Oryzias latipes: one gene and its partner. The protein of the gene in region 2 purifies or fractionates together with the protein of the main gene of each other region. This does not show direct contact. Links are inferred from orthologs where the notes say so. Each region holds a gene or a part of one and is shown on either strand. Other genes may lie near its edges. The genes, in order: map1lc3a and retreg1.

The links.
Region 1: the proteins of retreg1 (region 2) and map1lc3a purify together in Homo sapiens (affinity purification with western blotting; 3 studies listed by BioGRID and IntAct, with this or other methods). This does not show direct contact. The link is inferred for Oryzias latipes from reciprocal best matches to the Homo sapiens genes RETREG1 and MAP1LC3A.

Annotation. Positions count from the first base shown.
Region 1 is NC_019863.2:5,854,063-5,865,382, reverse strand, and holds the start of map1lc3a (microtubule-associated proteins 1A/1B light chain 3A), read right to left. Parts: upstream 6,266-11,320; 5' UTR 6,132-6,265; coding exon 6,092-6,131; intron 2,858-6,091; coding exon 2,802-2,857; intron 2,617-2,801; coding exon 2,510-2,616; intron 1-2,509. UniProt on the Homo sapiens protein: Ubiquitin-like modifier involved in formation of autophagosomal vacuoles (autophagosomes). While LC3s are involved in elongation of the phagophore membrane, the GABARAP/GATE-16 subfamily is essential for a later stage in autophagosome maturation.
Region 2 is NC_019875.2:8,683,340-8,694,099, forward strand, and holds the end of retreg1 (reticulophagy regulator 1), read right to left. Parts: intron 6,959-10,760; coding exon 6,841-6,958; intron 6,211-6,840; coding exon 6,126-6,210; intron 5,953-6,125; coding exon 5,830-5,952; intron 5,438-5,829; coding exon 5,367-5,437; intron 4,577-5,366; coding exon 4,453-4,576; intron 4,380-4,452; coding exon 3,877-4,379; 3' UTR 3,551-3,876; downstream 1-3,550. UniProt on the Homo sapiens protein: Endoplasmic reticulum (ER)-anchored autophagy regulator which mediates ER delivery into lysosomes through sequestration into autophagosomes.

The DNA of each region.
Region 1 (11,320 bases), on a different chromosome or scaffold from region 2:
TTTTGCAAAACTGTAATGGAAACTTTTTTCCGAATTACTTGACCCACAACCGGATGGCAATGCGCCTCTTGGTGGGTAGTGGCGGCCTTGGACACTGCACAGCGGGCGCCACAAGAGGTCCCACAGCGTCACACAGCTCATCAAAAGTTGAGCGCGTCATGTGGAGTTTTTGGATCCACATCTCTAAAATCACCACCCACCATTTCCAAAAATGGCTTCATTTGTAGCCGCTCCTACGTTTAAGGAGCTCGCCGCTCCAAAGTCTGAATAAGACGCCAACGTCTCCTTTGATAGAGATGATGATGAGCGCTAGTGCCGTGGCAGAAATCTGAACGTATCTGCTGTAAATCAAAGCATTGTTCACATTCATCACCACATTTTTGAATAACTTATCGTGAGTTGGTTTGTAATTTTTCACGTAATCAGAGTTTAATAGAAACAGTGTAATTGCCAATTTTTTTCTTCTAGAATTTCAATAAAGTTTTGTGCATATGTGTCATGGAAACTTGGCTACAGATTGGTTGGTCTGCTGTTTTATCTCCAGTTACCTGGAGATTCAGGTGAGCAAATGCTGTGCATCATGGTTAATATGAAGTGATATTTATGCCACCACATTGCAAACAAAACGTTCTAAGTTGCAAAAAAAATATGAAATATTTGTTTTCAAAAAATAATTTTGAATTTACAGCACAAATGTTTTCACATGCGTTGTCTCATCTCGCTTTTTTCCTTATGACTTTGCTCTCATAAGTTTCAGTTTAGCGTGACAAAGCTGCCATCAAACAGCCTGCTGATTGGTCTAGATTCTAACTAATCAGGTGTCTCTGTCTTGTATTAAGTGCTTGGAGGAAGACGTGGACTTTGTATCGGTTCTGTTCGAAGGGGTTTCTGCCGTTTTCAACAATTCTGGCGCGTTTCTCTCAGAAGGAGCAGCAAAGCCACAAAAATGAAATAAAAACAGGGTTTAGCATTTCTTTCTTTTAGTGTAGCGACCATTTTGTTTAAAACCCCGTGGCAGAATAAAACGTCTGAACTCCAACTCCATGTCTTATTTTTATCAATTGATGTTGAAATATGAAGAGAAAGTAGCTTTTTTTATGAAAATTCTTTTCTTACAAAAGCAGTTTTTAAAAATAAGAAACTGAAAGATTTAACATAAAATGAACACAACACACATGCCTGTTGATTTAGCGTAATGTCAGCAGATAAACTTTACAGGTTATTTTACAGTTTCAGGAGATCCTCAGCCATAAATTCACAAATCTGAAAACAAATAAGATAATCAATGCTGTAAATCAGTGGTCCCCAACCACCGGGCCGTGGACCGGTACCGGGCCGCGGGAAATTTTGGCACCGGGACGCACAGAAAGAAAAAATAATTTCCATTTTATTGTTTTTTTTCGCAAAAACGTTTTATTTTGAAAATTGACTGGATTTTCTCTGTTACATCCGTCACATTTCACGCACGTCAAAGTCGCGACACCAAACATCACATGATACACCCCGCTAAAATTAAACCCAAACAACCAAAATGAGCAAAAAACAAACTTCTTTAGAAAGTTGCTTTGACAAGGGGAAACGGTCCAATGAAGAGACAGAAGAGGAACCTGCACCCGCTAAAAAAGGTAAATCTGCCTTTAACAGGCAGCGGTAAACGTGCCTTGCGTTGCACCTCTACTAGCTTGGTTTCATTTATCAAATCATGTTCTGGTTTTTGTACTTTAAGTGAGTAGGTCTGCACGATACATCGCAAATTTATCGTTATCGCAATACCCAGCTCTGCGATATCCATATCATTAATTGGCAAAAATCTGCAAAAATCACAATAAATTGTAAACCTTAAATGTGTTAAAACAATCTTATGGCAGCTTGAGGCATTTAAAGAATCAATTAAATCCCTTTATGCATTTGACCAATCGGATGTACGCCTTCATATTGTTGACCAATCAGGTGGAGGCCTATTCTGTTAGCTGTTTGTCACCTATGTTGACGAGGGTCATATAATTTTAAAACTGTTGGAATGAAATGGGAATGATGTTTTTGGTTATTTTGCCATTTGATTATGTACCGCAAATTATATCATTATCGCAATATTAATCTCTCATATCGCAAGTTTTCCTCATATCACGCAGCCCTATTAGTGAGTAAATCTCAATGAACCTCTTAGTGTATTACTCGCCGTTGCAGGTTAGAATGACACCCAATCATGGACTGATGTGTAGCACAGCACTGTTGGGTTTACTTCATGACTGAAACCAAGCTAGAAAGAATCCATATTAAAACGATAACTTTCAGTTTGATACTGTAAATATACACAAGCCAGGGATGGTGTACCGCAGGGCCCTGTGCTTTGTCTCATGCTTTTTCAGTTTTTGTACATTTGTTCGCTTCTCTGGTCCAGCTCTCCTGCTCTGTTCCCTTTTTTATGCTACGTTTCTGCAGTGGCAGACTAAACAAGCCTCTCTGTCATCCAAAGTTGAAGTTTAATGAAAGCAAACGAGGGACCAACCTGATTATTTTTACCAGCTCACTCATGTTGACATGGTCAGGTACCAGGAACTTGGTCTTGTCCAGAATGGGCAGCTGTTTCTCCCCCTTATACCGTTCAATGATCACCTGCAGACAAAGATAAGTTTGTCTGTCTTTTCTATATGTTGGGTACCCCCCTCCCCCACCAAACATGGAAACATAGGAGTTCTGCCACATGCTTTCCTAATGCATTAGCATGCTCAGAGAAATGTCCACATGGTAAAAGCTGGTCTTCAATGCATGCAGTGATGATCAAGTTAAAGGCAGCTTACAGGGATCTTGTTTGGGTGCTGCTCCCGGATCTGCTGCACCTCTTTGCACCGGTCAGCTGTGGGGAAACCAGACCCAGAAAAACATTGAAAGGTTCTGTATGTTAACTGCCTGAGTGTTCTGCAGTGCTAATGTGAAGGCTGTAATGGAGCAACTGGGCATCTTCTAAAACCACATGAAATTTGTTCTTGTCCTGTGCAGAAGGCGAGAAAACAAATCAGAGCTGAAGGCTTCTTGTATTGGACAGATGTTACTGTAACAATAGGAGGTTAGGAATCTTCTAACACACAAGGTGTATATTTGTATAAACTTATTTTGTATATGAAGCTAAACTTTACATTAAATATTTTTGCATACATCTCCTGCTGGACTGGATGGAAAAAAAGGAGAGAAAGAGGAAGAGGGATGTTAGAGATGGGGGACATGGGTACAAAAGAAAGGGGGGAAAATGGGGTTCAAGTAGTTGGAGGATGATAAAGACGTATGGGAGGGGGTAGAATCACAAAGCAACAAAAGTAAAAAAGGTTGAAGTGGAGGGCTGAGCTTTCCAGGAAAAATGGAAAGAGTTTTATTTGTTCATGGAGCTGAAACCTGAAAACCTGCATGCTTGGTATGCCATCAAAAGGTTGCAGTGCTCAACGAATATAACATTCAGCACCATTATGAGACTCAACATAAAAAAAGTTTCACTATTTGCAGTTAAGAAAAGAGAAGATTTACCAACTATTAGCTAGACTGAAAAAACAACCGTCTGCATTAACTGCAGCCGTGACGTCAGTGATAGAGCAGTGATAGACACCTTATTGCAGACAAGTTGGAGCAAACATCCAATCCATTTTTGGATTGTGAACTTATGGAAAATATGAAGGATGCAGAAGTGTTGTACCCCAAAAAGCAGTCTACCTTTGCCAACATGAGTCTGTCAAGGATTACGATTACACAACATCTCCGAGGAGACTTGGACGGCCAAATGAAGGAATCTAGTCATTTATTGTATTTTCAGTCACTGTTGATGAAAGCACCGACATCACAGATGAATAAAGTTGTGCATATTTATTAGAGGTGTTGAGCAGACCATCACAGCAGAGTTTCTTGAGTTGATGGACAAAACAACAGCTGATGACATAGTCAGCTCTCTAGTTACTGTGCTGGACAATGTTGGAGTGAACTGGTCACATGATGTCAGTCTGGTCACTGATGGCGCCCCATCAAAGCTCAGGAAGAAGGCAGGTGTTGCCACAAAATTCTGGCAGCAAACCAGGAAAAGACTCTTGGAAATTTCATTGTGTTTTGCACACTTGAATGACAGTAAATGTGTTGCTGCACAGGATTTAAATCCTGATATTGATGGATGGTTTCAGGAGAGAAAGGGAGGTTAACTCCAAATTGCTCACATATGTTTGCAAGTATGATTTAGTCTAATTTTTCCTTTATTTACACATTTAAATCTTAGGCAAGGTGTTTCTTTTTTTTCCGTAGCCCCTCTTGAGTTTATTATCAGGATTGCTTCAGTCTGTATAAAATTGAATCGACCATGTTTTTTTTAAGTGAAATGCATTTTGTTTTAGATCCCTTGGCCTCTGTCAATGAATCTGTAATAATAAGGGATTTGCCTCCTATGGTTAAGGCATTTTTTCCAACTAAGAAAAAAAACCACAAAGCTGTTATTTTGCCTTTATGTTACTGGTCTGGCCCACATGAGATCAGACGGCCCCCAAACCAAAATGAATTTGACACCTTGTTCCCTCTGTCCTTGTCTTTTGTATTCCTGGAGTTTTTCATTTATCATAGACATTGAGTACATGTGGATTAATTAGCTAGTGTTTCCTGGTGTCATTTAGAATGCTGCATTTCTTGTTTTTGAACCCCGGCAGAAATCAAACCTCACTTAAGGGTTCCTTTCCTGCTGCTGCAGTTTCACTTGTTCACATTAAAGATGGAGGCCAGAGGCTGAGTGCTGTCTGTGTGTGTTGTTAAAGAACGACAGAGTGCTGGAATGATGAGAGCAGCTTCTTCCATTACAATGACACGAGCACAAAAATGATTCCTAGAAAACAAATGTTTCAACCTTAACAAGTAACATGGATCTGGTTCTGCAGGGGGTTCTGCTCTTTCATTGAGATGGAGGTGTCCTCTAATGTTGTTATTGCTCAGTAGCTACAGCTGACTGTGGTTGCCAATTTGACTAAATTTGGATTTTGGTTCATGTTAGGCGATCCAATTGGATCTGATCCACTGACTTAAAGTGGATCCAGGACACCTTTAGCCAAAACGTCCACCAGTGTGACTCAGAGAGAAATACCTGCAGGTTCTGAACAGTGTAGGGGAAGTTTTCCAGATTCCTTGTGTTTCTTCAAGATAATCAAGTGTAAATTAAATATGTGTACAAACAAACAAGTAAACAAGAATGGATGTCCAATCTATTCACATTTTAGTTTCCTAAAGTTCAGTCCACTGTTGTTTTTCCACATCAAAATGATCCAAAGGGAACATTTTAAAAACATTCTACCACACTGTATGGTGACATGACTTTGTCTATATATGTTTATATTCAAAGTATTTTCTACACATAGGACTGTAATGATGGACTCATCAGTTTTTGCTGATGACATCACATGTATGTTGTGTTGTCTGCTGTGATGCACTTGGTCACTTTAAACCTTATAGTCAAATAAATCTACTGTACTTCAATCCAAATGGTAACGATATCAATTTATCTCATTTTGAATGTTTTCTATTTAAACATCTTGAGAATTGATCTTTTAATAATCCTCTACAGCAGGAACACGTGATAAGCAGCTTCTTGGTTGAAATGGCTGCCCCCGTTGGGCCTCAGCTAAAGTAATCTATTACTTTTAGATCGTTTCCTTGTTAGAGTACAGTAGTCCTGAGGTGGTCAGTGACCTTCTGCTGCCCCCCCACCACAGTACCGTTCCCCTGACCCCCAACAGAGAAGCACCGCCTGAACCTCCACGACCTGCGAGACCTCTGGAAGAACAGAAGGAGCTTCCGGTGTCACATGGCAGCATCCACGGTAAACGGGTCAAGCACTGACGGAACCGAGGTCCGGCTCGCAGTTTTTAATCTGCTATCGGAGGTCTGGCAGAACGGGAACAGGCCCAGAGTGACAAGAACCCAGCTGACCCACGAAAACCTGCAGAGGTCTCGCGCCGGTCCTGCCGACAGCGACGGAACCGGGCCGGCCATCCGCGGACACGGCGGCCCTGGCCTGCCCTGAGAAAGTCCGGTGGCGGACGGGCTGGCGGGGCCCACAGCGGCCGGTTCTTCTTACCGAAAGTCCTCCGCTGCTTGAAAGGCCTGTCGGACGGCATCTTTGTCGCCGTGGTGTCAGGTCCAGCCCGGTTAAGTCAGACGCTGCAAATCGGTTCGGCGCTCTTCTCTACAGGTCTTCTCAGCGGCGGCTCCGTCCGGGCAAACAAAGCCTCTGAACACAGACGGTGACGTCAGCAGCTACGTTTAAAGGGGACGTCCCCCATTTGCTCGGAACCAAACTGGTCCAGGTGTTGGAACCACTTCACTCCTTCATTCCATCAGCCAGACTTTGGGCTTCCTAACTGGACTGAGAAGCTGCCGTTCTCACCCGAACCAAACAGAAAACCCGATCTGCATGGAGCAAAAACGCTATAGGGGCAGGTCCCTCTGCGGTCCCTCTGCGGTCCCTCTGGGGGCCCTCTGGGGCCCCTCTGGGGCCCTCTGACCATCACAAGACTCCAAATGAAGATTCCAGGCTCAGACATCAAATGCTGGATTGCTGTCTCTTCTCCACAGATCATTTCTGTTTTGGAACAGTAGAATCTCTAGCTCACCCTGGAAAAAATGTGGATATTACATTATAAATATTTTTAAACTACTTAGATAAGATGCATTTCTTTTAAATGTTTATAGCACTATCCACTGCACATGGTGGCACAGTGGTCAGCACTCTTGCCTGACAGCAAGAAGGCCCCTGGTTCAAGTCCTGAAACAGAACATCAATGGGGACGTCTCTGCGTGGAGTTTGCATGTGTACCACTATGGAAGTGTTTCTGTAGCATAATTAAAAATAAAAGTCAATACCAGAAAAGCTTTTTCATTTTGAAAATGCAGCTGCATTTGTTGACTCAAAATTAAAATAAGCAATCCTCCAAAATGTTCTTTCTTTTCTTTTTTGCCCCGCCTCCCTCCTGCAAATGCTAACTAGAATTGAATTGGTCAGTTCAAGAGGGGCCCAAGTCCACAATTTTTCAAAATAGAGATTTTATTTTTTCTATGGTCTTCAAGGGAAAAGCTATCTGATTATGTGCAAAAAAAAGTCCCAAGTCCGTTGTTATGTATTGACTATGCTTGACATTTAAAATGCATTAAGTGCATTTTCCTGGACTTGGGCCTCTCTTGGATGGGTTTAGCTTTATCCCATAGATGGCAGCACTAGTTATCCAATATGGCAGCACCCCTGTTTAATTCAAGAAGGGTCCAAGTCCAGAGACTTTAGTTTGCTAGTCCTCTAAAATGATAAAAGTGAGGTGCTTCATATTATAGCATTTGTAAGCTATGAACTTGTGCTAAATCTGGGTAAAGTATTCATCATTTGGTGTAGCCTCCCTATAAGCTATGCAATTAAAATCATTTCCTGGAAAAACAAACCTCTTGGACTTGGGCCCCTTTTGAACTAACGGATTCAATTTAATATTGCGACACTTTTCGCACGGTGGATGTGAAAACGAAAATGCAATCCTCTCCTTGCATTTTTGCTTTAATTATGTCACAGATGTTAAAGTAGAAATGAAAAAGCATTTTGAAAGATTGATGTTTCATTTTAATTTTGAGTTATTTGATGCAGTTACATTGTGAAAATGAAAAAGCATTTCTGTTAGTCCATTTTAATTGTCAAATTAGACATTTCTAAATGAATTTTGCATCACATTTACCAGAGAACATTTTGTAAAGGAAATGTCAAAAACCGTTTCATTATCATTTTAATTAAGTGACAGAATGAGTTGTGTTGAAAAAGAAAAAGCGGTTTGGCAGATTGTGTTTTCATTTTAATTTGAGTCAACAAATACAGCTTCATTTTTAAAATGAAAAAGCATTTCTGGTTTTGAATTTTTTTTTAATCTTGCTACAGAAAAAACATGCTTCATAGGTTCATTGGGAACTCTAAATTGTCCATAGGTGTGAATGTGTGTGTGCATGTGTGTGTGATTGTGGCCCTGTGACAGACTGACAACCTGTCCAGGATGTCCCCTCCTTTGCCCGCAATTGGCCCGGATAGGCTCCAGCAGCCCGGTGAACCTGAAAGGATAAAATTAGAAGATTCGAATATGAATCAATGAATGAATGGTTATATAAATATTATCCACTAAATGTTTTTTTATCTCCCACAGATTTCAAAAGGATATCAATTTGAAATAGTCTTCTGGAAACCGTTACACATTCATTTAAATTCAAATTCAAATTAATTTTATTTATATAGCATCTTTCAAAGACAGCTCAAGGTGCTGTACATAAAAACAAAATCAAATGCAATAAAATATAATAAGATACGTTAAATTAGCCCCACACAATAAAATACACAAAGACAAATATCAGTGGAAAATAAATAAATAAATAAATAAATAAATAAATAAAGATAAACCAGAGAAACCAGAAGGCGCCGTCTGCCCTGTCCTCCTATTGGCAGGGGTGTCAGTATAAAACACAAACACCCCAGCCAAGGGTGAGAAAACACTCGTAAACAGTCTAATAAAATAAATGTGTTAAAATATCATAAAAAAAGTATACAAGTAAAATTCTAGATTAAACAGATATGTATATGATAAAATGTCATAAAATACAAGAATAAAAATTCTAGATTAAGCAAATAAAATGATAAAATTATGTGATAAAACATCATAAAACATAAAAAGATTGAAGAATATGATAAAATATCATAATTTAAGATCTGTTCATGTACCACAACATTTTGGACTGGTGTACTAAACTTGCTGGAAAAATATATTCTTCATTATGTTATTTTGTTTTGTTTTTCTTTGTTATAGGCATATTATCTTAGGTTGTTGTGTTTTTTTAATTGAAAACAAGAAGGCCTATTTACTCAATTTAATTTTTCTTCTAGCCAAATTCCATAAATGTAAATATACCTCCATGAAACCATCTTTACTTCTTTTCATTTGTGAAAACAAAAAAACTACAGTGACTTCTCAAAAATTCTACAAATTTAAAAGCTATTAAAACTTGAAATTTATTTAAAAATGTCATCTTAATAACTGGTGACACACTGAACGCTCTTCCATTTGGCGAAAGAAAGGCATTCTGTCTCTCCTCTGGACATGTCCCAGCCATCTCAGTCTGGCCTCTCTGACTTTATCTCCAAAGCCTCTAACATGTGCTGTCGCTCTGATGCACTCATTCCTGATCCTATCCAGGTCACTTCCAAAGAGAACCTCAGCATCTTCATATCTGCTGCCTCCAGCTCTGCTTCATGTATTTTCCTCATTGCCAGTGTCTCTAAGCCCACAACATGACTACTCTCACCAGTTTTCTACACCTTTACTTTCATTTTAGTTGAAACTCTTCACATCACACCTGAGACGTTTCTCCACCCATTCCAACCCACCTACACTCGCTTCTCCACTTCTTTTCCACATCTCCATTCCTCTGGACTGTTGACTCTAGATACTTCAAATCCTCCACCTTCTTTATCTCTTTTCCCTGTAACTTCACTCTTCCACTTGGGTTCCTCTCATTCACACACATGTGCTCCATCTTCCTGCAGATAACCTTCATTCCTCTCCTTTCCAGGGCAAACCTCCACCTCTCTAGCTTCTCCTCCACCTGTTCCCTGCTCGCGATCTTGGGTCTAAAGATGCATGGGCAAACTAAAAACTCAAGGGGGAGCTCTGGTTTTAAAAGTGAGGGCATTTTTTGTTACGTTTACTGACCCAGTGTAAAGTGGGAAATTAAAACGTTACAGAAGAAATGATGTGAAGATAGTTTCAAAAAAGGCAGTTGAACGAGTCAGAAGTCATGATTTAAATAGATCTATAGCAGGCGTGTCAAACTCATTTTCACTGAGGGCCACATCAGCATAGTGGTTGTCCTCAAAGGGCCAGATGTGACTTATTCATGTAACTAAATGTAATGAAAAATAAATGTAACTACTCCTTAATGTTAAATAACTCATTATTTATTTATTATAACTTTTTAAAGTGACAATTACAGTTGCATAAAAACGTATGTTTGCTTGTTACTCTACCATAAATCTTTTTACATTTGATTCTGTCAGGTTAGTTTATATGGACAGTGTTTAAGTCCTAATGTATAGTTGCCCATTCCGATATTTTAAGTCAGATTTCCCCTAGATATGACTAAATACACAACAATTTTTATTTTATTTTAAGAAAATAAAAACTTTTATGCTTGAGTTTGACACATGTGATCTATAGTAAAAGTAAATATGTACACAATGAAGCATCAAGTAATAACACAGTATTAAAAACATCCATATGTTAATCATGGCTCCAGATTTCCATTGTCAAAAAATCATGTTAGACAACAGCACAGTGTTTGATTAGCTTTTTTTTCTGTCTACATACTATCGGTTTCATTCTGCAAGCAAAAGTCTGGAAACATCGTTTTCCCCTCACTGCATTAAAAGAATGTTTCCCTTCAACAGTTGTAAACTGTTTCCCCAACATTGGAGACAATGCTTATTTTATCAGTAGTCCGTTAAATTTAACATTAATACAAATTAACAGTTCAATGCCTAAAACAGACCTCTGGGGTCCACCACAAGAGGTGTCCAGATACACTGACCAACTAAACTCACTAAACTGGACTGTTTATAAAAAATCATTTTTCCAGCATATTCACTAAATCTCAGTGAAAAGCAATAAACCAAATTTAATTTGTTTTCCTTTTTATTTCCTTCTCTTCTGCCCATATGGTTGCTGAATGTAATCATGTAGTGTAATAATTTTAAAGTTCAAAGAAAGGAGGAAAAAAACGTTTAAACTTGGGAATTAGGGGAACTTCCGAGGGTTCGTGAAGGCAGCATTCAGCAGCAAGACGACAGGAATAGACCGTCTGTGCGCACGCGCCCACTGGGATTGCGCTGCTCGAACCTTCAGGCGGGTTTGGACCTGCATGTCAGAAGCCTGTGCATCACTTGCTGTTGTTCAGCTCCGAACGAACCGAGCCGAGAGTCCAGAACCTGCACCTGGTGAGTGGCGCGGATCAGAGATGCGCTCCTGCGCTGTGCAGGAGGTCCAGAGGTTTTGGCTTGGGGGTGTTTTTGTGGGCATCTCGCAGGAGTTCAGGTCCTTCTGCCTGAAGCGCTGACTGAGATCTTCTTGAAGGCTTCAGTTTTTCCTGCTGTACTTTAAATAATCGCATTTCTTCTGGAAAGTTTGGGAACATAGAATGGAAAAGTATTTGAGGGACTTTCAGTTTAATCATTGAAACTTTTAGTTTTTGCTGTCAGTTGGAGTTTTGAGGCTCTCCTAGTAATAAAAATGCTTTT
Region 2 (10,760 bases):
ATGAACAAAGAGTTGATATCCTGGAGATGATAAATGTTTTTAGATCAGTTAATGAGAGTAATTTCCCACGGTTGAAAAACACTGTTTTAGACTCTGTCTTAGAGATGATGATTTGCCGTCTCATCCGCCAGATGAAGAACAGTGTTTTATTGGCTTTTAAACTAAACAGTGTGTTTTCAGCAGACACAACAAAGTCCTTACAGGCACCGCAAATACTTCATCTTATAAAAAAATGTATAAGTAGTCATTTACAGGAGAAATTTTATGCTTTGCTGGATCTCCTGATGTGAAAGCTTTTCTTGTAAAGAAAAACAAGCTTTGAATCAAAGGACAAGACGAACTGGAAAGTTAGACAAAGGCTAAATGTCAAAGCCAGAAGAGAGGACCCATCTGATCGCATTATAAAATGACACTCAACAGTTTGGAAAAGGTTTTTATGTGCTCAGTTTTCTTCAGTCACGTGGTCCACGCGACATGAAAACATGACTATAGGTTTTTTTTCTCCCACTTGTGGTTAAAAATTGTCCTAAAAGGAGATTTAAAAAAAAGTATGTTTGCAGAATTTACTGCGATCAGTCACTTCTCTTGAATATCATGTTGCTTAAATCTGTCTACCCAACCAGTTAACAGCAACTCAGTGCTTTCATGCTTTAGCAGAGATTCAAGTTTGAAAACTTTTTTACATCATCTTATGGCGATATCAAATTAGCTGCGGATGCGTTATAATTTTATCGTAACAAGATTCAATTCAATTTACCATAAATGATGATGATGAGATTCATTCTAATTAGATATAAACTAGAACAGAAACAACAAAAGGAGGATTTAAAAAACTCCAAATCGGCTAAGAAGACGTTCAGATTCAGACCTGTACATAACAGTGATTGTTCAAAGTAACAAACCTTAATTTTTTCACTAAGGCGGGAAAATGTGTGTCATGATTTCAGGGTCTACTTCAAAGGACATTTTCCAATTTTCCAAAGCAACCACTCTTTACTAAATACTATAAATGTATTCAGCTTTAGATAAACTTTCATTCTGTGCAGCAAGAGCCAGCCATTTTTATTTTCTGCAAATGTTCTTAAATATTTATCTAACACGAATTGACAAACGTTTAACTGAAATGTAAGCTGTACTGAAGCACTCGACCACAAGAGGGCGTCCTTCACAAAGGTACCTTGCTCTAGCATTTTTTACGTCTTCGTGTGACAAAAGTTTTTATCAGTTTCTATGATTAACAATGACAGAAAAATCTCTCTGTTTCACAGATCTGAACTAGGCAGACTCACAATACTGTCACGGATCTTATTAAAAAGTTTGATGCAGACATTAGCCACGTCCTGCTTTTGATTCGAATTTTTTGAACTTTCTGACTTTTTTACTGTCCAAGAAAAAATGAATAATAATATCAGCAAGTACAGTAGATAAAATTCATAAACTCCAAAGCTTTATAAGATGTTTTTGAGTAAATAAAGTTAGATCACAGCATAATTCCCATGTTCTGCTTTTCTGATTGCATCTAATATATGGTGTAGATCCTGAAAATGCATATACCAGTATCATAATTAGATGCTGAATCAATTATCCAAGGTTTAACACAGAACATAGAGTTTTTCTCTGCAAAAAAAAAAAAGTTTTGAACATTTTATCTTAACATTGGAGACACAAAAAGTAAATATTTTTGTTTTTTCCGAAAGAAATTACAACTTTAACATGTTATCAGCATACAGGATTATGCTGACTACGTGACTGGATATATCAGCACTTGTGTGGAGAACATTGTGCCCACCATCCAAGTCAGGAAGTTTCCTAATCAGAAGCCCTGCGGATAAACAGCCATGTACGTCACATGCTGCGTGCTCGCTCCACTGCATTTACATCTGGCAATGAGTCCGAGTACAAAGCTGCGAAGTACGGCCTGAGGAAGGCCATCACAGCAGCAAAGAGGCAGTACAGAGAGAAGCTGGATGGCTTCTATTCTACTGCTGACTCTGGCCGCATGTGGAGGGGCCTACAGCACATCACGGACTACAGAAGCAGCACCAGCAACATCAGTGCTGCAGACAGCCTGCCCGACGAGCTCAATGCATTCTACACCCGCTTTGAGACGCCCACCCCCCACACGGAGGGACCATTATACTCTTGGACAATTACATACAATACATCCCATCATCTGTGACTGGCTCCTGGACTTTTTGACTGGCAGGCCTCAGTCTGTCAGAATAGGGAACAGGACTTCAGCCAGCATCATCTCTAACATTGGCACACCACAGGGCTGTGTTCTCAGCCCAATCCTCTACACCCTGTTCACCCATGACTGTGTGGCCTCTCACAAGGACAACATCATCCTGAAGTTCGCCGACGACACCGCTGTGATAGGACGCATCACTGGCGGGGACGAAGCAGCCTACAGGAGGGAGGTGGCCAGTCTGGTGACATGGTGTGAGGACAACAACCTCACCCTCAACACAGACAAGACAAAGGAGATGATAGTGGACATGAGGAAGGAGAAGAGGAACCCTCATCAGCCGCTTCTTATCCGAGGTCTGGAAGTGGAGAGGGTGAGCAGCTTCAGATATCTGGGGGTCCACCTCAGCCAGGACCTCACCTGGACACTAAACACGTCACAGCTGGTGAAGAAAGCTCATCAGCGGCTGTACTTTCTGAGGAGGCTGAGGAGGTTCGGCATGTCCCCGAAGATCCTCAGCAACTTCTACAGCTGCATGGTTGAGTCCATCCTGACCAGCTGCATCACAGTGTGGTACGGCAGCTCTACCGCCATGGACCGCAAACGCCTGCAGAGAGTGGTAAAGACTGCGTCCAAGATCACCAGGACTCCTCTTCCCTCGCTGCAGAGCATATACAAACGCAGGGTCTGCAGGAGAGCTGCCTCCATCATCAAGGACCCCACCCACCCGCAACGAGGACTGTTCACTCTCCTCCCCTCAGGACGGAGGTACAGGAGTGTGAAGTGCAGGACCACCAGATTTAGGAACTCTTTCTTTCCCTCTGCCATCAGACTCCTTAACAGCTGACTGGAGTCTGGAAAAACAAACTGCACCTTTGCTTATCCTAATTGTTGCTATTGTCACTGTCACTTTTGCACATTTGCACTTTTACAACAGCCACTCGACATCTTGTGTTTTTGTGTGTATGATGTGAGTGAATTGTTTTTGTTTCCTCTATACTTTTGGGCATTCGGAGCAGACAGCAAAGAAATAATTTCATTGTGCAGGGAAACCCGTTTCTTTACTGTGCATATGATAATAAACCCTTTGAATCTTGAATCTTATCTGGCGAAATCTGAACTGAAAACCTTGAAGGCTTTAAGAAATATTATTTGTGACACTGTTGGTCCTAGATTATGAAAAAAACACCTTCAAAGTTTTCCTTTTTAATTGTGATCATTTGTTAATTTGGATTAATTTAAAAAATATAATAATAATAATAAAACTCCACAATAAAGTGTCATTGATGTATTTTTCATAAAATGTGTTTAAAAAAAAAGAAAAAAGTTACATTTTATCTCATAAAGCGAAAAACATTAAGATGCATTTCGATTTTTTTTATTGCAATTTTCAATATTTCCTTTAGCATAAGATCTAATAGATTTCTTTTTGGTTGTTGTGTTTTTCAGACGTGAGTAGAGTCTTATTCTGTGTGGTTTTAAACGCTCTACGTGGATTGGTTGGCCTTGAGTACCTGTGATCAGACGTCTCAGCCTACAAACACACTACATCTGTGAAACCAGTCCTCTGAAGTTTTCTTTTTATAAACCAGATAATATAAAGACAATGGATTTTCTAACAAGTGTGACCATGTTGCCCCCATTACTCCTGCATGTCCTCTGTGACCCCCTTCCCCTGCATTTTCATGTCAATGGCGTCTGAGGAGTTTGGAGAAGAATCCAGAGGATGCTGGCTTTTCAGACTCCATCTGTGTTTCCCCTGTGGACTTTAGTTTCTCCTCTCCCAGCCCCAGCTCCCCTTCCAGTTGCTCTAACTCTGACTGGTCCAACAACTCAAAGTCCTCCACCTCGCTGTCGGACTCCTCCATCAACTCCAGCAGCCGCTCTGACTGTGGGAGTCTGGATGGTTCAGGGTCTCCGGTGAAGGCACAGACGGCAGCTTCTATTCTCTCCTGGATGGCAGCTGTGACTGCAGCTGTCAGAACATCTTCTGCCATCTGGTTGACCAACTCCAGGGTTTTGTCTGCGTGTTGATCCATGCCAGAAAAAAGTGCACGCTTTGACGGCTGTTGAGGTGGAGCACATGGAAGGCTGAGGCTGAGGTCATCGTCGTCTCCATTTGTGGTGGTGCCATTATCGAGTGAGGGGAAATCAGCGAGGCCGCCGGTGAAGGCTTCTTCTTTGTCCAGATCTGCGGTTTGAAAGAGCATCAAGGTGAGGCGCAAACAAAAAGCTTTCAGAAAGGTGGTAAAAACCAAACGCACCCTCTGAGTTCTCCGTCTGCGGCGTGTGTCCCTCTGACAAGGTAAAGGTACCGTTGTCCGTCCACGTCACGTCGGACACCTCCGTGTCTGAGACGCACATTTCCTTACAAACTGTGGAGTCGAGCTGCCGCGAAAATATGAGGAGAAAACAAAAAGAATCTCATTTGTTTGATCAGGATTTCTGTCATTTTGAGTTGAGCATAGAAAATTCTGGTCCACCAAAGTTATCTGTTGTGTTTCAGCTTCATAATCAGGATCTCATACGTGAGTGATATCATTGAGTTATAAACTAGCAGGACGGAGTGTAAACTGACAGCTCTCAGGTAAGGGTGATGGGAAGGATGGTGGGGTTGCTTGCACCAACAGTCCCGCTCAGAACTCAGTGTCAAACTTCTAATAAACTACCGCCGCTCTGCAAAAACTAGAAAAACGACAAAGGTTTTCTGGCTAAAATCGACATAATCATAATTAAAAAAGCACTGGGAATGCTTTTACAATAGATCAAAAGATGGTTGGAGTTCGGCTTTAAAACCCTTCTAACTGTGATACAACACTCTAGATGGCGCTCTCCAGGTTGGTGGGATGTCATTTCAATAGTGAAATTATTTCTGTTTTCTAACATAAGCAAAAAAAACGACCACATTTTGTGACTGTACATGTGTTCATTTTTGTCCCTCCATTGACAGACATTAAGTTTCCATAGTGACACGTCGTGAGATGTGGGTCAGATTTGTTTCTCATCATCCTTCCGAGCGAAAGTAATTCTATTTGGATAACCTATAAATGGAGGAAGGAAACGGTGATGAAGGCTTGGACGTTTTAAGCTGAAGTCTGGGCATTAGGATGAGAGCCATTAGCTGTGACCCTGTGAGTCAACAGAAACAGTATTAGATTAAAGGACATGAATTTCAAACCTTGGGGAACATGAGGGAGAGGTCCGACTCAACGCCGTCTTTCTCAGTCTGAGCCTGAATGAGTCTCTTCACTGGATGGAGGCAAACAAGAAAAAACAAACTAATTCAGTTTTCTGGTGGAACATTCAATAAGTCGTGGAGAAATTGTAGCTCATGAACAACACAAATCCAAACTTGCATTTGGTACTAATTGTAATTTTTTAAAAGTTACTTTCCAGTAGAGGGCAGTCTTTGAGTTTTTTTAATAAAAGTTTAGCAGGATTCACTGTGTGATCCGTATTTGAAATGCTCCAAGAAGCGCCCAAAAACCTCAAAGCTGTCTCTCAGATTCTACAAGCCCCGGTTAGCTTGACACATCAAACACAGATGAGAAAAATATTGTCTTGAAAAAGGCTAGGCAGACATTTGAACTCTAGTATACAAATAGCATGCACAGGAATAAAAAACAAAAACATTGTTTTACTCCGATCTTCCTTGATTTTTTGGAAAATGTCTCCAATGCCGAAGTCCAGCTTCTGCAGAACTGGCTCCAGCCACAAACTGACATCATGAGACGAAACCAGGGGCCACAGGAAGACACCCAGCACTTCACAGACACAACAACACAGAGGAGGGACACGTTAATTCACACAGCAGCTGCTGAAAGTCCCATGCTTTCACACTGCAGAAGGGTATCTGCATCTAATGTGTAACATGTAACTCCAGACACAACAAACTGGTGAACGTGATCGTCTACCTGCAGGATCTCTGCGGACTCACCTAGAATGTACGAGATAACAATCCCTGGAATGTAGCGTCCTAAGACAGCAAAGAAGGTGCACAGACTGCAAACCAGCAAACAGAACTGCAAGGGGAGGAAAAGCAAACAGGAGTGAGACAAGTCTCCTCTGATAGATCAATGCTGGTTATCCCAAAACAGCTGTTCACGGAGCACAAATCCAGCCCAGGTAAAAGTGGATGATGAAGATGCAGAGCAGAAATATAAACTGTCTTTTGCTTTGATCTTCTTAAAAGGTTAAATCCTTTAAAGGAAACAAAATTAATGAGGCCAGGTAGAATGTAGGTAGAAGGTAGAATTAAAAGTGAGGTACTGTTTGTCCATTTTTATGTTTAGATTTTTTTTTAAAAAGTCCGTAATGTATTTAAATGGATCCAATTTAGTGATCTGCAAAATCTGCTTTTCAACGACAAAAAAATCTAATAGAAATAGAAATAGTTTCTAAAAAACACAGAAACCATTAAATAGTATTTTTTCTTTTGGTGTTGGATTTTTCAATTACTATGTTGATCAAATAAATCTTTGTGTTGGAAAACTGAAACGTTCACACTTGATCCATCTGTTGTTAAACGTGAGCGACATAATGCTTCACTTAGGCCTTCTAACTCTCCCTGGTCCTGAATCTGACACAATCAGCTGGAAAATCTCCCAGGAAGCCCTGGACTGGAGCCTCCCGTCTGTACGTTTCCTCCTCACCTTTCCTGGGTTTTGCTGCTTAAAGGCCGACGTTTCCTGGAGGAAGATCTTCAGGGAGTCGCTGAACTGCAGTCCGCTCGCAGTTCGACTGTCCTCGCCCGGGTCGATGATCTCCCAACTGAAGACAAAACAGAGATGCAGAAAATGACCCAAATGACATGACAACAACCTTTTTTGTTGCAAAGATGAATGCTTTAAATCCATACAGCTGTTTCCAGTGGTGCCAAACACATCAGTGAAAGCTACTAAAGGATCAGCTGGGATTTAACTTTTTGCTTGCTCCTTGAACTGTCTTATTGTGGATTCACTTTGTTCTTTCCTGTCAAAAGAAAGTCAAATAAGTATTTCAAAGCAATAACAAGATTTTTTCGGTTTTGTAAAGGACATATCTGAAAAAGAAAATGCATGTGAAACTACAGCAAACTACCCCTGCTGAAGTGCAGACTATTGTCTTCTTTCTGTTTGGGTTTGGTAAAAACTCTTGTGCAGGATCCGTCCTCTATTGCTGATCCAGAATGCTGCGTGGGTCACACCAATGTTTCCATCTCTGCTTCCTGCTGCAGCACATTTTCACCTTGGGACTCTTTCTTACACAGCAGTCCAACAGTTCCTGATCAGCTAAAGGTGCCAACAACCAAAGAGGTCCACAATTGTCCTGTTTGTGTAGCTGTTGTTGAAATGTTTAACACAATCTTAACAGATCTTTCCAGCTACATTCACACCGCCCTCAGCAATGCGCTTTCAAGCAACCACTTCCAATAAAGTCTATGTATTCGTACATAAATGTGCATTTTGGGCGTCCGCATTCAAAACTCGTGTGTAGCTATGCATTGCACTGTAAATATTTTTTTTAAATGCATTCAAATTTGCACGAATAATTCTGCATAACTGCAAGACTGCAAAAGGCAAAGTGTGTTATAGTTGGGGACCACTGTAAACCGCATGAAACCAGGTGGGATTTGGATTTAGGTTCTGCTACCTTCCCTCTTTTTTTAAAAAAAAAGGGAAATTCTAATGACAAATTGAATTAAGATTGTGGGTTGAGACTCTGGTTCCTTTTTCTCTCATCAATTAGATGGGATTTATTTCTTTTCTGTTCTTTAGGTCAGCATATAGATGACCCTTTGCCAAAGACAGAGGCTCTCCTATAAGTTCTGACTTCTGAGGGTTTTCTAATAATAAAACCAAGAGAGAAAAAAGGTAAATTAAGATTTTAACATGGATTTCTACCAGCAATAGTGTTGAGCTCATCTGTATGACAAAAGGCAGAGTAAACACATCCAATAATGCATTTGGGAAGAGAACAACCCTATTGGGTCTCTCAGGACTCATTGGAAACAGTTTTTGAGTTGTTGCATGAATAAAGAAAAAAAAATGTTATTTTTTTTTCATAAATGTGGTGTCACAGACTTTTCTTTCCCATGAAACACCTGTTTATCTCAACTACATGATTCCCACTATGTTTTTTACAAATGTATTGGAATATTACAAAATAACTATAGACTAATGTCACAAACATTTGAGCTTTTGTCACATCACAGCGAAACAACGTGGAAACTCATCAACTTTATTGTTTTAAATAAATGATGGTTAAAAACGTGAATCCTCGGAGATTGCAAACAAAAACAAATATGTCATCAAAAATATTCCTCTTAAAATTAACAATCACTTGTGGAATCATTAAATGGCTAAAATACTAAATGAATAGTTAATCAATGGTGGAAAAACTGTAGAACAAGTGATCTGTGGACAAATCTAAGGAAAAAAATCCAGATTCATTATATTTGTTTATCCCTCTGGCTGGCAGCTCTTAAGGAAAACTCAGGCCTTAACTAGGCGACTGCAAATTAACATTTGTTGGCAGCTGCTGAGAATAGAAACCTGCAGCATGGTTGCTAATCCAGGTCACACGAACAGCTGTTTAACTTCACATGAACATTTTTATTCCAAAAAAAACTGAAACTGCATGAAAAAAAAGCAAAACTTGAGTCCTGAAAATAATATAGATATAAGGCCCAGGGTTTAATTAATTTCAAGTGTTTATTGGTTTCTTTTTACATAAATTGGGGTTCCAGCTCTTGTTGCTGTTAACTCTTCAGTATATCCCATCAGGGGTCGCCACAGCAAATCCGCTTCACTGATTCACACAAGTTTGGCAGGGAGTTTTAAGCTGGATGTCCTTCTTACACGACTTAGTATTTTCTCCGGGCTAGGGACCGGCACAGGGAGATCCAGACTTGGGGCCCCCCTGTGCCTACACAGTTAGGCAGGAGCGTGAAAGGTCTTGCCTAAGGACCCACAGTGGATTAAGCTCATTGCACCATGGGAAGCAAACCCTGGTTTCCTGCGAGCCAGGGCTACATCCAACCAGCCAAGCCACAAAAGTATAATTTTTTTAAAGGAATTATGGAAATGAACACACATTTCACATTTCACAAAATCAGATGACTCAAACACAGCTAAATTCAACATGATGGATGTAAAAAGTAGGAGACGAGAAGGGATGAGAGCACAGAGGATCAACTATAGAACCAAAAATGTGGATTTAAGACACTACAGGTGATAAACATCTGGGATGACTGGTCACTTTAACTTGGAGGGACTTTAACTGGAAACAAAGAGCTGGACTAATTAAAATGAACACAAGATGAACTTAACACAGAACCTTAACTAAGAAATCAACAAAAAAAACTAAATTTTTAAAAACATTTGTGAGGAATCTGCATAAAACCCTGCTAGAATGTGGGTGGTGTATGCACTCCAAACAGAAGGTGGCAGTATGCTCTAAAAACCTTTTTTTATTTTTTTACTGGTTTACCATCTATGAATGGGTGACAAATGTCTTACAGGTCACTAAAAATTGACTTGAGTTGAAGTCTAATCTATATTTTTCACTATGGTTTGTCTTATTTAGCTCAATCTTTGCCATTTCCAATGTCTTTTTAATGCCGAATCATTTTGAGCAACTGTCATGTGACGGGGGGAGTCACTAGCTGACTTCATAGCTTTGAAGAATCGTGGTATGAATCCATTAAACCGTGTTTCTGTTTCAATTCTGCAAACAAACCCACTTGATTTCTACTAACAGCAGTCAAGCACAGGGCGGAAAATCAGTCAAGCATGGTGGGGGTACAACGTTCTCAGGTACAATACTTGGTGTGAATGCGCTACACGTTATGTTTAAAGGGCTTATATCATGCTTCTCTTAAGCTTTTTATACTAAACAGCATCCATGTATATGATGATATATTACCTTTGGAACACAAAATAAGACTTTTTTAAAATTAAATATTAGTTATTTTCATGAATTTCTTTCCTACCCGTAATTAAGACGACTGAATCTCTGAGGCTCCGCCTTTCCCTCCACGTGGGTGCCACCCATTTCATGACGTCAACCTAGAGCCGGCCTTAGCAGCGTGTCTGCGTCTCGCCCATGAAAACAAACAACATCCAAACTTTTTGAGAGGTGGATGTGCATATTGTGCAAAATGTAAGCGGTTCAGCCAAATACCACTAGCTCCATTGAGAAAGTGGGTGTGTCTGTTAACCTGGGGGCGGTGCTAGCAGCTAAGACTCTTCCTGGAAGGGGCTGTTCTCACTGGTCTACATCACAATGTGAGAATCCGCTCGTTTTTGTGGATTGGAAGGGGCTGGTATCAGAGCACAGGTTTTTAGAGGAATACTCAGAAATGTGTGAACGAATCAAAATACCACTTTGGGGTTTCTTTTCGTGAGGAATGAACATTATGAAACACTTAAAAGCACAAGAAATTGATTTTGCGTGATATAGTCCCTTTAAATTATCAAGTTGCAGTTTATCGTTTGGCTTTGGACTTTTTCAAATTGTTTTTCACTTTATTCTTATGGTAAATCTGGTCAAAGACTGAAGAAATTACTGACAGTAGCTTGTTTTTTAGCTT